Linked DNA regions of Saccharomyces cerevisiae S288C. The protein of the gene in region 1 interacts with the protein of each later gene in a biochemical or structural test. Each region holds a gene or a part of one and is shown in the gene's direction. Other genes may lie near its edges.

Evidence for each region.
Region 2: of the proteins of VHS1 (region 1) and SIP5, one has a biochemical effect on the other in vitro, tested with the Saccharomyces cerevisiae proteins (2 studies listed by BioGRID).
Region 3: of the proteins of VHS1 (region 1) and SOL2, one has a biochemical effect on the other in vitro, tested with the Saccharomyces cerevisiae proteins (2 studies listed by BioGRID).

The regions. Positions count from the first base shown.
Region 1 is NC_001136.10:954,034-960,365, forward strand, and holds VHS1 (putative serine/threonine protein kinase VHS1), read left to right. Parts: upstream 1-1,979; coding exon 1,980-3,365; downstream 3,366-6,332. Other genes in the region: TRAPP subunit TRS23, read left to right, coding at 255-914; YDR246W-A (uncharacterized protein), read left to right, coding at 1,100-1,300; YDR248C (gluconokinase), read right to left, coding at 3,725-4,306; YDR249C (uncharacterized protein), read right to left, coding at 4,648-5,769. UniProt on the Saccharomyces cerevisiae protein: Probable serine/threonine protein kinase involved in the G1-S transition.
Region 2 is NC_001145.3:546,082-550,094, forward strand, and holds SIP5 (Sip5p), read left to right. Parts: upstream 1-1,632; coding exon 1,633-3,102; downstream 3,103-4,013. Other genes in the region: serine/threonine protein kinase RIM11, read left to right, coding at 44-1,156; YMR141C (uncharacterized protein), read right to left, coding at 3,655-3,963. UniProt on the Saccharomyces cerevisiae protein: May negatively regulate the SNF1 kinase by promoting the interaction of the REG1/GLC7 phosphatase complex with the kinase. Deletion of SIP5 promotes resistance to artemisinin, which is probably an indirect effect of an action on the electron transport chain.
Region 3 is NC_001135.5:245,396-248,821, forward strand, and holds SOL2 (Sol2p), read left to right. Parts: upstream 1-1,567; coding exon 1,568-2,515; downstream 2,516-3,426. Other genes in the region: mitogen-activated protein kinase kinase kinase SSK22, read right to left, coding at 1-1,188; cystinosin-like protein ERS1, read right to left, coding at 2,638-3,420. UniProt on the Saccharomyces cerevisiae protein: May be involved in regulation of tRNA subcellular distribution.

The DNA.
Region 1 (6,332 bases):
TTTTTAATTTCCACTACTGGTTCTGCTTTAAAATGTTGTTTTATAATTTATGTACATTTAGGCCTATAGAAGATTCTTTCAATAATATGCTACACATTCTTTTATTTTTCCATCATATGTTGGAGTTTATGCCTCCTCGGCAGGAGTTGGGCGGTGCGAAGAGAAGAAAAAGAGTGAAACTAAAAAAAGGAATCTGCCTTTGCATAAGTTCAAAAGTGCAATTTTAGTGTTGGATTTAAACGGGAAAAATTGAAATGGCCATCGAAACAATACTTGTAATAAACAAATCAGGCGGACTAATCTATCAGCGGAATTTTACCAACGACGAACAGAAATTGAACAGCAATGAATACTTAATTCTTGCTAGTACACTGCACGGTGTATTCGCCATCGCGAGCCAGCTGACTCCGAAGGCATTACAGCTAACTCAACAAACGAACATCGAAAATACCATCCCATATATACCTTACGTGGGCATGTCCAGCAATAGGAGCGATACAAGAAATGGAGGTGGCAATAACAACAAACACACTAATAATGAAAAACTGGGCAGTTTTAAAGGAGATGATTTTTTCAAAGAACCATTTACGAACTGGAACAAGAGCGGATTGAGACAACTATGCACGGATCAGTTCACGATGTTCATATATCAGACCCTAACCGGCCTGAAGTTTGTCGCTATCAGCTCCAGCGTCATGCCCCAGAGACAGCCAACTATAGCCACCACCGACAAGCCTGACCGACCCAAGAGTACATCCAATTTGGCCATCCAAATAGCCGACAACTTCCTAAGGAAGGTTTACTGTTTGTATAGTGACTACGTCATGAAAGACCCATCTTACTCAATGGAAATGCCTATAAGATCTAACCTGTTCGACGAAAAAGTCAAAAAAATGGTAGAAAACCTACAATAGACGCACGCGCCATCGGAAGATAAACGCATTCACACCAAGAAAATAAATACTACGTACTTCTAGAACTAAGAAGAAGTTGCCGCTCTCCGTCTCCTCCTTCATAAATAGGGATAGCTTTTACTACTACGTACGAAAAAAGACCACACTGCGACGGATCCTCTGCATCCCAACACCAGCGATAGAAAATGCGCCGCCTATATCGTCATCTTGCTTCCTTTTTCTTACTCCCTTCCTGCCCTGGAAACACCATACAATCCATCACATCATATCCTGCCAATGCACTATTACGCAGCTTTCGGCACGTGAGTACGGAAACACCAGTTCGGAACCGGGTACACAATAGGGATAGTCAAAGCTGTCCATTTTTTCCGCTGATGGATGACTGATACCAAAGTGTAACCCAAAAGGGGTAGTCGATCCTACTTTTACCAGTTACGTTAAAGGGACCAAAACGTGGGGAAGGGATGCCGCCACCACCACCGCCACTACCCCCGCCAACATGGCCTAACTTAGCAGTCCTCGCTTGTGTATCTAGGTCCGCGTCCGCTAATTCGCGCGGCTTGCCACTTAACCCCGTCCAGTTAATTTGCCAAGCAGCGGCCGCACGTTGGAACGTTTTCGCCGATTTATTTATTATTATTTATACATGTTGACGTTGGTGCCCTTTTGTTTATACTGGAGCCTAAAACGTACCTCAATTAAATTTAGTGTGCCATATTATAGTGCTATTAAACCTTTATTTTTATTTTTAATTTTAAAACTGCTTTGGTTCTCTCCCTCCCTTACCGTTGCCACCTTAAGACTCACTGATATTTATTCATACTTACAAGTGCTATAAGAAAAGACTTGATTTATTAGCTTTACAGCGTTTTTACATTTGTGTCACTGCTATTATATTTTTGTTTACCTCTTTTTGTTGCTGGTGTTGGCGCTACCATTGTTTTTTTGTTTTATGAGTTACGTTTACAAAAGTTCTTAACATTTACTGTACGATAATATACTAAGGTGAAATACTAAAGTAAAATAAAATAAGAGAAAGAAAAAAAAAAAAAAAAGAAAAAAGTAATGATGATGTTCCATAATTGCAGAATTAATAACTACTTAATAACTTCTCAAATTGGCGAAGGCGCGTACGGTCTGGTTTACCGTGCCTTAGATATTCGTACCGATAGACAATACGCTATCAAAGCGGTTGTTCAAAGTTACGGTGTTAGCAAGGAGGCTGATATGGGCAATGATAAAATACACAAAAATAGCGTGAAATTGCAAAAGAAGCTCGCTAAACTGTTCAAGGAATCGAAAAACGTTGTCAGGGTGCCCTCTATAGATCTAGAATCAATTGAGAATATGTCAGAAGAAGATTTTAAAAAGCTGCCCCATTATAAAGAGATTTCGCTACACCTAAGAGTCCACCATCATAAGAACATTGTCACCATACATGAGGTGCTACAATCTGCAGTCTGCACGTTCATTGTCATGGATTATTACCCAACAGACCTATTCACGTCTATTGTAGATAACAGACATTTTGTCACTAATGGACTGCTAGTAAAAAAGGTTTTTCTACAGATCTGTTCTGCTCTTAATTATTGCCATGAGCACGGCATCTACCACTGTGACATCAAGCCTGAAAACTTGCTACTGGATACAGAAGATAACGTTTTCCTATGCGATTTTGGTCTATCCACTACTTCCACATATATAAAGCCAAATGTTTGCATTGGTAGCTCGTATTATATGCCCCCTGAAAGAATCTCATTTGATGGGAGAGTTTCCAGCTCTAAAAGTGGGGGACATAAGTTGGGTAAGGTTTGTCCCTCATGTAATGGCGATTTGTGGTCATTAGGTATCATCCTTATCAATTTGACATGCATCAGAAATCCCTGGCTGAAGGCTGACAAAACCGAGGATAATACCTACTATTATTTCACTAAGGATCCCAATATACTAAAGCAAATCCTACCGCTTTCCGATGACTTTTACTCATTATTATCTAAGATTTTACAAGTGAATCCGAAGAATAGAATGAGCTTGCAAGAGTTGATGAAAGAAGTTAGTTCTATTACAAGCTTCACCAATGAAGGCCCGTTATCAAAAGTGCCGCCTCTTTCCAAGTCTGTTTATGAAAAGTTCGTTAGCCCCGTCGATAACACGAATGAGAATTTGTCTCCAAAATCCTACGTGTACATGCACGATAGTAAAGCTGCCAAGAATTTATCTTATACATCTTCAAGTGAGGAAGAAGATGGAATCAAAGAAGGGATAGACGATGATAATGGCAGTCGCAGTGGCAGTTTCGGAACGCTAGACACAGACACTGGATTGCATTCTTCGTTCACAAGCACTTCTTGCGAGTCCGATAACGAATGTTCTAAGATTTCCAACAAATTTTCCTTGTTCGAAAAAAAATTCAACGAACTTCGCATGAGTTCCTCTTCTTTAACTAACTAACCCCCTCCTTTTTGGCACAAAAGTGTACTACACATCTGTTTTAAGCCCACAATTGATAGACCTTCTCTTGATGATCATCTGTTTTCCCGAAAATATTACTTGCCAAAGCAAGTTGTAGTTATATTCACACTTCCGTTATGACCCCCTCATCCGTTTAATGTTATTTGTTTTTATGGTATTCCCTTTATTCATTTTTTTTCTTGCTTTTTTTTGTTGATCCCTGTAACCCCTTTTTTTTTTTTGGAAGTTGCTATTATTATTCATTCACATTTGTTCTGTCTTTGTTAATTTTCCAGGTCACCGTATTTAATTTCTATATAACTGTTTCTAATATTTACTTCGTTTTATCCAAGCGTTATTTACTCAATATTCAAAACTTTACTTTTTACCACCTGTATAACATCTTTTTCAATTTGATAAAACGTTTTGAAATCTAAGGGAACAATGTCACAGTCAGTTTCGTCGTTGATGTCTGGTAACTCCAGATCCCTGAATTGAGACTCCATCATATCAGCTTTCATGAAATGACCCTTCCTTGTTTTGAGCCTTTTCAGAACTTCTATTTTACTTGCATACAAAAAGATAAAATGGAACTCCGATTCAGGGCATGTGTGCCTAATCAAATCTCTGTATTTCTTCTTCAAGCTCGAGCAAGCAACAATTGACAAATGCTCCTTAGTGCTTGCTGCAGCTTTTGTAGATTCTACGGCAACTTTTTTCAACCAGTCCCAACGGTCGTCGTCATTTAATGGAATCCCTCTTGTCATCTTTTCTACGTTGGCAGGCGGGTGTAAATCATCACCTTCGATGAATTTCAAATCCGGGTATATATCTTTAAATTCATGGATTAGTTCACCTGCAATGGTTGATTTTCCTGTACCTGCAGTACCTGCCAATACAATAACCTTAAATTTCCCCATAGTTTTGTGTTTCTCTGTCATCAACTGCGTTGTCCATCCATACGCTTACTGAGACACTATGAAAGCCTGTTTAGTCTTCGGAAAGCTATTTATTGCTTGCTACTTGAAAACCTTTTGATTATCGATATTTTTTAACGGGACCTTATATAATTATTGCTTGGAAACTAACGGTGTTATAATTTTTGACAAACTAATTAGCGACGTAATGAAAGCAGAAAAACCGCAAGAATATGAGAAAGGGAAAATATCAAAGAAAACAAAATATATTCCTTATATAACACCATCTTTTGTACATAAATGAATTGGCAAGCACATATTGTGCATGCATGCAAGGGGCAGAATCTTAATACTAAGTAATTTAATTATGCAAACATAACCCCGTATTGAGGCCTTCCGCCGCATTTAACGACCAAATCTATGAGTTTTAAATCAGACACCCGCCTTAACAGGTCCCATATAGTGCTATCAGATAAAAGTTCGTTTTCTGTCAATGATGGATTGTAATAATATTTCAGGATAAATTTCTCTATGAGCTGTAATCTTGATCTATTCTGCAAAAAAAACTCAAAGTTCAGACTCCCTAGTGAATCAGCATACGTGAAATATAATAAAAATATTACAGTCGTAAGGGGTTCAATAGACGCTAGTTTTTGCACTGTAGATCCAGAGACGTATAGGATTAAATCTATTGATTCAAATAGAGAAACAAAGGTAAACTTAGGGCTTAGGTCAGTTCCTTGCATATCAATACCTTGAAAAAACCATTCTATAAAAGGGGATATCACATCATATGGATTCTTCAAAGTAAAATGATTACCTAGAGACTTCACACATTCCCTACGTGTTAAAAAAATATGCATATTGTTGTAAAAGTTTTTAGGGAAGTCTTCTTTCGATGTATCTTCAGTGTTCATTGAACACAAGTCTAGCTCTTTAGATGTATCAAAATCGCCATTCTGCATATCTTGATAGTGCTTTCTGGGAAGAAAATGAGAAATATTTTTCAACAGGATAGGATGATGATCTAGTAGTAGTCTAAAAAAAGTTTCATGCTCAAATAATGTAGGGATCACAATATTTCTTGAATAAGCTTTTATATTACTTACGCCAAACTCCAGGGGATCGAAAAGATATTTTTCCCACATGATCTTCGATAATAATGAAAAAGATGGCTTCAAGCAACTATAGAAGAACCTGTTCAAGGTGACCATCGACGGTTCACCCTTTGTGAAAACGAAAATATGTTGAATAATCTCTACAGGTAAATCTTGCAAAGTTAGCTTTTGATGATGCCTAAGTTTCTTCGCAGGAAGCCTGATAGTCCTTTGATCTTCCGATATTGGCCTCTTGGATGAAACCCGGGTCTCTAAGAGATGCACATGGTGCTGCAAGTTTATCGAAGACGATGCATACCGATGCAAAGGAAGTGCATGTTTCTTTCTCTTATCATGACGGCTAGAATATCCTGTCAAAATATAACCCATGGCCACTTATTCTAAAAATACACTGCGTGAAAAAAGCACTGCTTACTTTAACAACATTAGTCCTCTTTAAATATATTTCATTACTCATCGCAAACTGAACAATTCTTGATGCTTAATTCTTACTAGCTGCAAAAAAGACAAGATGAAACGCGGTGTATGGTTGGACGATATAGTCTTATCCTAAATACACACAACATATATTGCGTAATAAAGAGATCTTCCTATCTATAGCACAATTTGAAGTTGAAAAGGCGTATCTAAAATGCTAATACTAAACAAGGCATCATGTTTTTGTCCCATTCACGTAGCACTGGCGATTTGCTTCCATATTCTTCTGTGTACAATAATAGCTTGGGTGGCTTTTTTCACAATGGGCTCTACGCGAAATTGTCGCAGCCCCCTGTTGGCCGTGCTGTGGGCCATTCTCGAGACTAGAATGAAACAGAAATCTACAAACATGAAAAGGTAGAGTAAAGTCGAGTAAGTAGTAGAAAAGAAAAGTGATATTGGCATACACGATAGCGAAGTTGTTCATATCTATTATCACCAGGCCATTCATTAAA
Region 2 (4,013 bases), on another chromosome or scaffold:
CAACACGGCAACACTAATCACGCAACGCTAGAACTCGCGCAGGATGAATATTCAAAGCAATAATTCTCCGAATCTCAGTAATAACATAGTGTCAAAACAGGTTTACTACGCCCATCCTCCACCTACGATAGACCCGAATGATCCGGTGCAGATATCTTTCCCTACCACCGAAGTAGTTGGGCATGGTTCGTTTGGTGTGGTATTTGCCACTGTTATTCAAGAAACTAATGAAAAAGTTGCTATTAAGAAAGTCCTGCAAGATAAACGATTCAAGAACAGAGAGCTGGAAATAATGAAAATGCTGAGTCACATAAATATAATAGATCTGAAGTACTTTTTCTATGAAAGGGACTCCCAAGATGAGATTTATTTAAATTTGATACTAGAATACATGCCACAATCTTTGTACCAGAGGTTACGTCATTTCGTCCATCAACGTACGCCGATGTCAAGATTGGAAATAAAGTACTACATGTTTCAATTGTTCAAGTCATTGAATTACCTCCATCATTTCGCGAACGTCTGTCATAGAGACATTAAGCCTCAAAATTTATTAGTAGATCCTGAGACCTGGTCCTTAAAACTGTGCGATTTCGGCAGTGCAAAGCAATTGAAACCTACTGAACCTAACGTTTCCTATATTTGTTCACGGTACTATAGAGCACCAGAGCTAATCTTCGGCGCAACAAATTATACCAACCAAATCGACATATGGTCCTCTGGCTGCGTAATGGCGGAACTGCTATTGGGCCAACCAATGTTCCCTGGAGAAAGTGGTATTGATCAACTAGTGGAAATCATTAAAATCTTAGGTACTCCATCAAAGCAAGAAATTTGCTCTATGAATCCCAATTATATGGAGCATAAGTTCCCGCAAATTAAACCAATACCATTGTCACGTGTTTTCAAGAAAGAAGATGATCAAACTGTGGAATTTCTAGCTGACGTTTTGAAATATGATCCACTAGAAAGATTTAATGCTCTACAATGCCTGTGTAGTCCATATTTTGATGAACTAAAACTTGATGACGGTAAAATAAATCAAATAACAACTGATTTAAAATTGCTAGAGTTCGATGAAAATGTCGAATTGGGCCATCTATCTCCCGATGAACTATCATCTGTAAAAAAAAAGCTATATCCGAAGTCTAAGTAATGATAGCACCGGAGGGAGCCCAGGCAAGAATAATGGGAGAAGGAAGGAACATATATACGTATGTCTTTTTTTAGTACTATTATTACTGTTATTATTATGAGTATTGTTTTTGTATTACCATCATATTCTTATCATTATTAGTAGTAACAGTATTATGTTATCATTACTGTTATAATGAATACAAATTATGAAAAAAATAAGGTAAAGCCAAAATAAATTGTAACTTTTTTATGCCATTTCACTTCGAATTATGTATAAAAGCCGTATTCTTTGCCAGTACGAAACTATTTTAATGACACCTTTACTTTAACCGGGTAACAACTTCCTTAAATGGGTCGACAAGGTTTTTAGAGTATAAAGGGGCAAGTGAAGGTTCATCATCGAGCTGATGTAGTGGGTGTTTTAGTAAACGAAGAAGCACCTTAGAACCAAATAATCTAGCTAGTATAAACCGAACCCAGAGTAGCAAACAAACCATGGGTAATGTTCCAGGGAAAATAGACCAGGAAGATAGTTTTAATGATGTCAGGCCAGATTCCTCATATAATACTACATCATCGAATTCTGTCATCAAACAATATGATGAAGAAGCCTCTTCAAGGGTGAGAACGAGACGCACGACGTCTTTGGTCAATAATATTTTAAATGGGAATAATGCTCGTACAAAAACTGGTTCTCATCTATCCAGCACTAGTAGAAGAAAGACGTCACGGGAAAAAGAGCTTGCTAAAGAGGCACATGCTAAACAATTGGTTGTGAGGTGTAGCGAAACTGTAGATGGGGGGTTTTTGGCCCCATTTGGCTGTTATTCTTTTGAAAAGTTGGACTATGATGCTACTGTCGTTAAAAATTTAATAATCAAAAGAAAGTTAGCGCCGTTTTACACTCCTTTGCAGGATTTTGATGAAAGTTGGACTAGAGATGAGTTGATAAAAATTGTTGACGGATTGCCCTTGCATGACACGTTCGATGAAAATTTGGAAGAATTCGAAGACGTACCGATAGGCAATTTAAGGAAGTCAACATTTAATGAATTAATAGACAAATCTTTATCCAAGAAGGAACAGAGAAGAATGCACGCAAAGATTTTTAGAGCAAGATTGTATAAGAAAAGAATTTTATGGCAAGAAAATGAAAATGAGACGTTTTTGGAGAGGAAATTGGAAATGAAAAGAATTGGCAGCAAGTCCAGCAATGTTGAAGATAATACCAGTAGCCAGCCAAGGAAAAATTACCATTTACCAAGTGACGATTTGAAGTATACTCTTTACAAAAATGGGTCGGAATGCCCTATTTGTTTTTTATACTTTCCAGGGCCTTTCAACTATTCCAAATGTTGTCAACAGCCTATTTGTACCGAGTGTTTTGTACAGATTAAGAGAGCTGATCCTCACTTCCCTCATGACGAAGTAGACCCAACTGAACCACAAACTAATGACAGTGAAAAGGACCCAAATCTTCTTACCTCTGAGCCAGCAAATTGCCCCTACTGTGCAACTGCTAGTTTTAGCATCACTTATCAACCACCCACAAATCGTGAAACTGGTATAGGGGGTATGCCAGCCGACTCATACGTGTATAAGGACGCCGCCATATCAAGAGCTGATGGCGGTCAGCCAAACATATCAGCCATTACTTCGGATACCATTCGTCCTGATTGGGAGATTAAATTGAACAAAGAAAGGGCAAGGTTGATGAGGAGATCCGCGAATGCCACCGCTATACATATAAGTAATAGGTTGATCGATCCAAGCCATAGCAGAAGGAGAAATACAAGTCACAGTATAACCCCTATTCATGATGAAAGTACGTCAGCTTCAAGATCTCCTGAACCGACAATAAACGAACTTGAAGATCAAATGGTTAGAGAGGCTATTAGGTTAAGCCTTGAAGATCAGGACAACCGAAAAAAATCAAAGAATAGAAACACCTCTTTGAGACCATAGCATCACAGTTTGACATTTTTTACAATATTAAAAAAATCCTTTTTCAAACGTTCCAGAAGTGCACTATTTTTCTTTTGTTCCATCTATATCTAACGGAGCGTCACCAACCTGACCTTCCTTTTGGCTTTAAACAAAATGATCCGGAAATATCGTCACATTTATTGTGAAGAGAGAGAAGTTTTACAGTTAATTGTATTGCAAGCTCTTCCCGCTCTAGAAAGTTTTTGTTTTGTTCGTCCTCAAGAATTGAGAGTTCAAGTATTTCACCTCAAATTTGCATTTGAATTTTAGTAGTAACTAATATAAGATTCCCATCCCGCATCCGCCACTGAGCAATGTCATTCTCTCTTTTCTCGCCTTTTTATGGATAGAAGCACATAGACGATGGATATCAGAGAAGCGTTCACATAATTAAGCAGTTAGTTCCAAATATGCGTACAGTCTTTATAGATGAGAGACTGTTAAAAACGACCTTCCGTTCGACCACTCAAACTGTAGTAGGAGTTCTTTTCTCTATTTATATGCTTGCAATGTTCGCAGAAAAAGCACCATCTACCTCACCTCCAGCTTAGCCAATTTTTGGTTGGTAAACCGTTCCAGAAATTTTTCAGTTTTGGGCGATACCATCAATGTGTCATTACAGAATATTCTTGTTGGCATTTTTTCAGGTCTAAAGAAATTTCGATTTGAGGTAATTGCTAGTGCTGAAAGGAAGAAACACAGAAATCTGACTGAACAATGACTTTTTGGCGTGTTCGAAGAAATCAAATGCATTATATATAAACGTACGCATAGGTATATATTCAAACTCACATATATAAAATCTTCTTTTCTCTTCTCACTTGTGTCAGTGCGTGACATCAGTATGCGCTTTGGATGTTTATCTTATCTGAGCGTCACAATTCAGTGAT
Region 3 (3,426 bases), on another chromosome or scaffold:
ATAGACGGGGAACGCCAGTAGTGATCTTAACCTTTCATAAGGATATTTTATGTTCATCTTTGTCAAAGTTTCTCTGTAGACTATAAAATGTAGTTTCAGTTTGAACATCCAAGGTGATAGCGGATAGAAAATTTTTTTTTGGAATATAGACTCGATGTTCTTTTCCTTCATCAATTGTTCTGCAAGAATCTTCATTTTGCAGTTCCATTGGGGCACACCATCAAAATCCTCTTGGCAATTATCCGAACTACTTATCGGTGAGAAACGGTTTATCCAGTCGTCCAACTCTTGCCTCCTCAACGTTAAGTTCGTTTTAAAGTTCAGCCAAGAATTCATTACGTCTATTCTAGCGGTAAATTCTGCAGTATTGGTGATTGGTTTATCCTTATACATTTTTTTCAAGTTAGGCCAATAAGAGACAACGCTGTGATATCTGTTCATGAGGTCTTGTAAGATGGCCTCCAGTGCATCCAGGCTCAATATCTTGCCCTGTGGAATTTGAAACTTCATTATCTCTTCAAAAACGGAATCTGAACTATCTCTTAAATATGTAAGCGACTGTTCCATCTCTTGCATGGTCCTCCCATTCAGCCATGCCTTCAATTCGAGCCATATCTCATCTGAGAGCTCCTTATTTAACCCTGGTTTCTTGACTTGGTTAGCAATCCTCGTCTTTTCACCTTTAACAATATCTCCCTTCAGCACTCTGGCCAGCATTGACTGCCATTTGAACCGTTCGGTCGCAATTTCATTCCAAGCTAGTTCATCACTGTCTGACCTCATTTTCCTGCAATAAGGTGTAGTGGAGAAAAACTTGACACCTGAGTGCAGGTCTTCATCAATTCTGTCGCCATTAGACAACCGAATAATTTCGTCATCACCGTCGTCTTCCTCGTAGCGGTTAGTGAGTTTTATGCCCCTCGTGTAGTAGTCATCTAAAGCGGTCTTTTTTAGCTTTTTCAAGTATAGCGATTCATTGAAAACGTATCGGTCCTTAAAAGTCAGCTGACTGGGGCCGTCGCTTATTGTTTCCGAGCCACCCAATGCTTTCAAATCAGATCTTGATAGTTTATGGCTGGAATGACTTGATAATCTCTTCACGAGCTTACTTGAGATGGTATGAGGAGCCAGAACTCTCCCGCCTTCAGCCGCTTTTTGTTGCTGTGTATTCAGTATATCCATCATCATTTTCACCTACAAGGAACTACCTTTTATAGCCACCCTAAGTAAAACAACATTAGCTTAGCATCCTCAATTCTTATCGTATGTTGTTGCTGCTATTTTTATCCTATTGTTCCTGGCATCGCTTTTTTACATAAGGTACCAAGGCAAGAGAAAAGACCCGCGAAATTTTCAATTCGAGACATAGGGTTAATACGAAATATGTTAAGGTCTAGTTTCCAAAAAATGAAGAAAATGTGATTAGACATCCTGGGGAAATTAGGTTTAAATAGGGCGGGCGCTACAGGGGTTTTCCTAACAAATTTCAATGATAATAGTGGCATCATCATCGTCATATCCAGTGTAGGTATGGACTAGAACAGAAAGCAATTTGCAGCAAGACAATATGACTACGACGGTACCCAAGATATTCGCGTTTCACGAGTTTTCAGACGTGGCAGAGGCCGTAGCTGACCATGTAGTCCACGCGCAAGACGGTGCATTGGCTCCAAAGAACGAGAGGAAACACTCTGTTCCCAACATCAGCATGAATGCACTGGATATGACGAGAGAGGCCTCTTGCAAAAGCACAGCATCTGCCGCGGAAGGGAAAAGTGGTAGCAGTGGTAGTGGCAGTGGTAGCAGTAAGCCCAAAAAGGAGAAACGGTTCAAGATTGCTCTCTCCGGTGGGTCATTGATCGAAGTGCTACACGAAGGTCTGCTAAAACGAGACGATGTACGGTGGGGAGACTGGGACATTTACTTTGCAGACGAGAGACTTGTACCCTTCAGCTCGAATGAAAGCAATTATGGATGCGCCAAAAGGAAGATTTTGGACCTGATAGACACGGCGAAGTATGGAACTCCGAAGGTGTACCACATTGACGAGTCATTGATTGACGACCCGCAAGAATGCGCTGATAACTATGAAAAGGTGCTAATCCGCGGGTTTGCCGGTAGAGATTCCGTCAAACTTCCGATGTTCGACTTGTTCCTGCTTGGTTGTGCCCCCGATGGTCATATCGCATCACTCTTCCCTAACTTCCAGGACAATCTACGTGAGAAACTTGCATGGGTGGTGCCCGTGGAGAACGCTCCTAGTGGGCCCTCGACCAGAATTTCGCTGACTATACCTGTAATCTGCCATTCTCACAGGGTTACTTTCGTTGTCGAAGGTGCAACCAAGGCGCCCATCATCAAGACCATTATGGAAAGGCCTGAAAAGGGCCTACCTAGCAGTATTGTCAACGAAGGTGCTGCTGGTCGTGTATCATGGTTTGTTGACGACGATGCTCTTACGGACGTCCTCGTCACCAAAAAAAAGTATAAATTCCACCAAGGTTTGTCTATTTAAACCATGCATGTGTGTACATACATACATACACACATACATACATACATACATATATTTATGTATATTTATGTATATATATATATATATATATATGCGTAATTATGCAGATTTCTCCTTGTGTGCTACAGCGGGTACTCTGACGCCAGATCATGGCCTCGAGATCGATATACAAACCACTGCATGATAAAGATGAAGTTGAATATTAAAGTTACCATTGACAGTCCCACTTTTCCAAAATTTGTCACGAACGTATCCAGACTGAAACCTTGATCGTTAGACAACTGCCAAATCAATTGGAGCAGCGAGGCGATACCGCCAGTGACATCTAGAAACACACCCTGAATGGGGAAACAATCCATAGATTTTCTTGTCGAGTTATGCGTCACTTGTGGGATGTACTTGATTAGTGACATCGATATTTTGAGTAAAAACAAATTGTTGCAATACGCCAGAGTTCTTGAGTTATGCCAATCGTACCAGTAGTTGGAGTACATAAATTGTACGGTTAGCAGTGAAAAAATGGCCAGTGATGCGAGTAAAATCCTTAGGTACCATGGATTCATCTTGCGGTGACCTTTACCTGGAAATCGCCAGATTCTCGCTCCAGCTACCACCTGGGTCAATAAGACAACATTCATCAAGCACCCATGCAGGCAATACCAGAAATCAAATTGCGTCAACTTGGGCCTGCCCAAGTCAGACTCATCACCCGTCATTTTCCAGCAGTACAATTGCAAAAATATGGATATGACCAGGTAAGAGTAACCTGCCGTATTTAACATGACAAAATCCATCGATATCGCGCTCGCTGACTTATGGCGCCAATTGGTGATTATCGGTGGATACATCGATATCGACCATGACGTAACATACACGATACCTAGTATATCGTCTAACGACACCATTTTGCT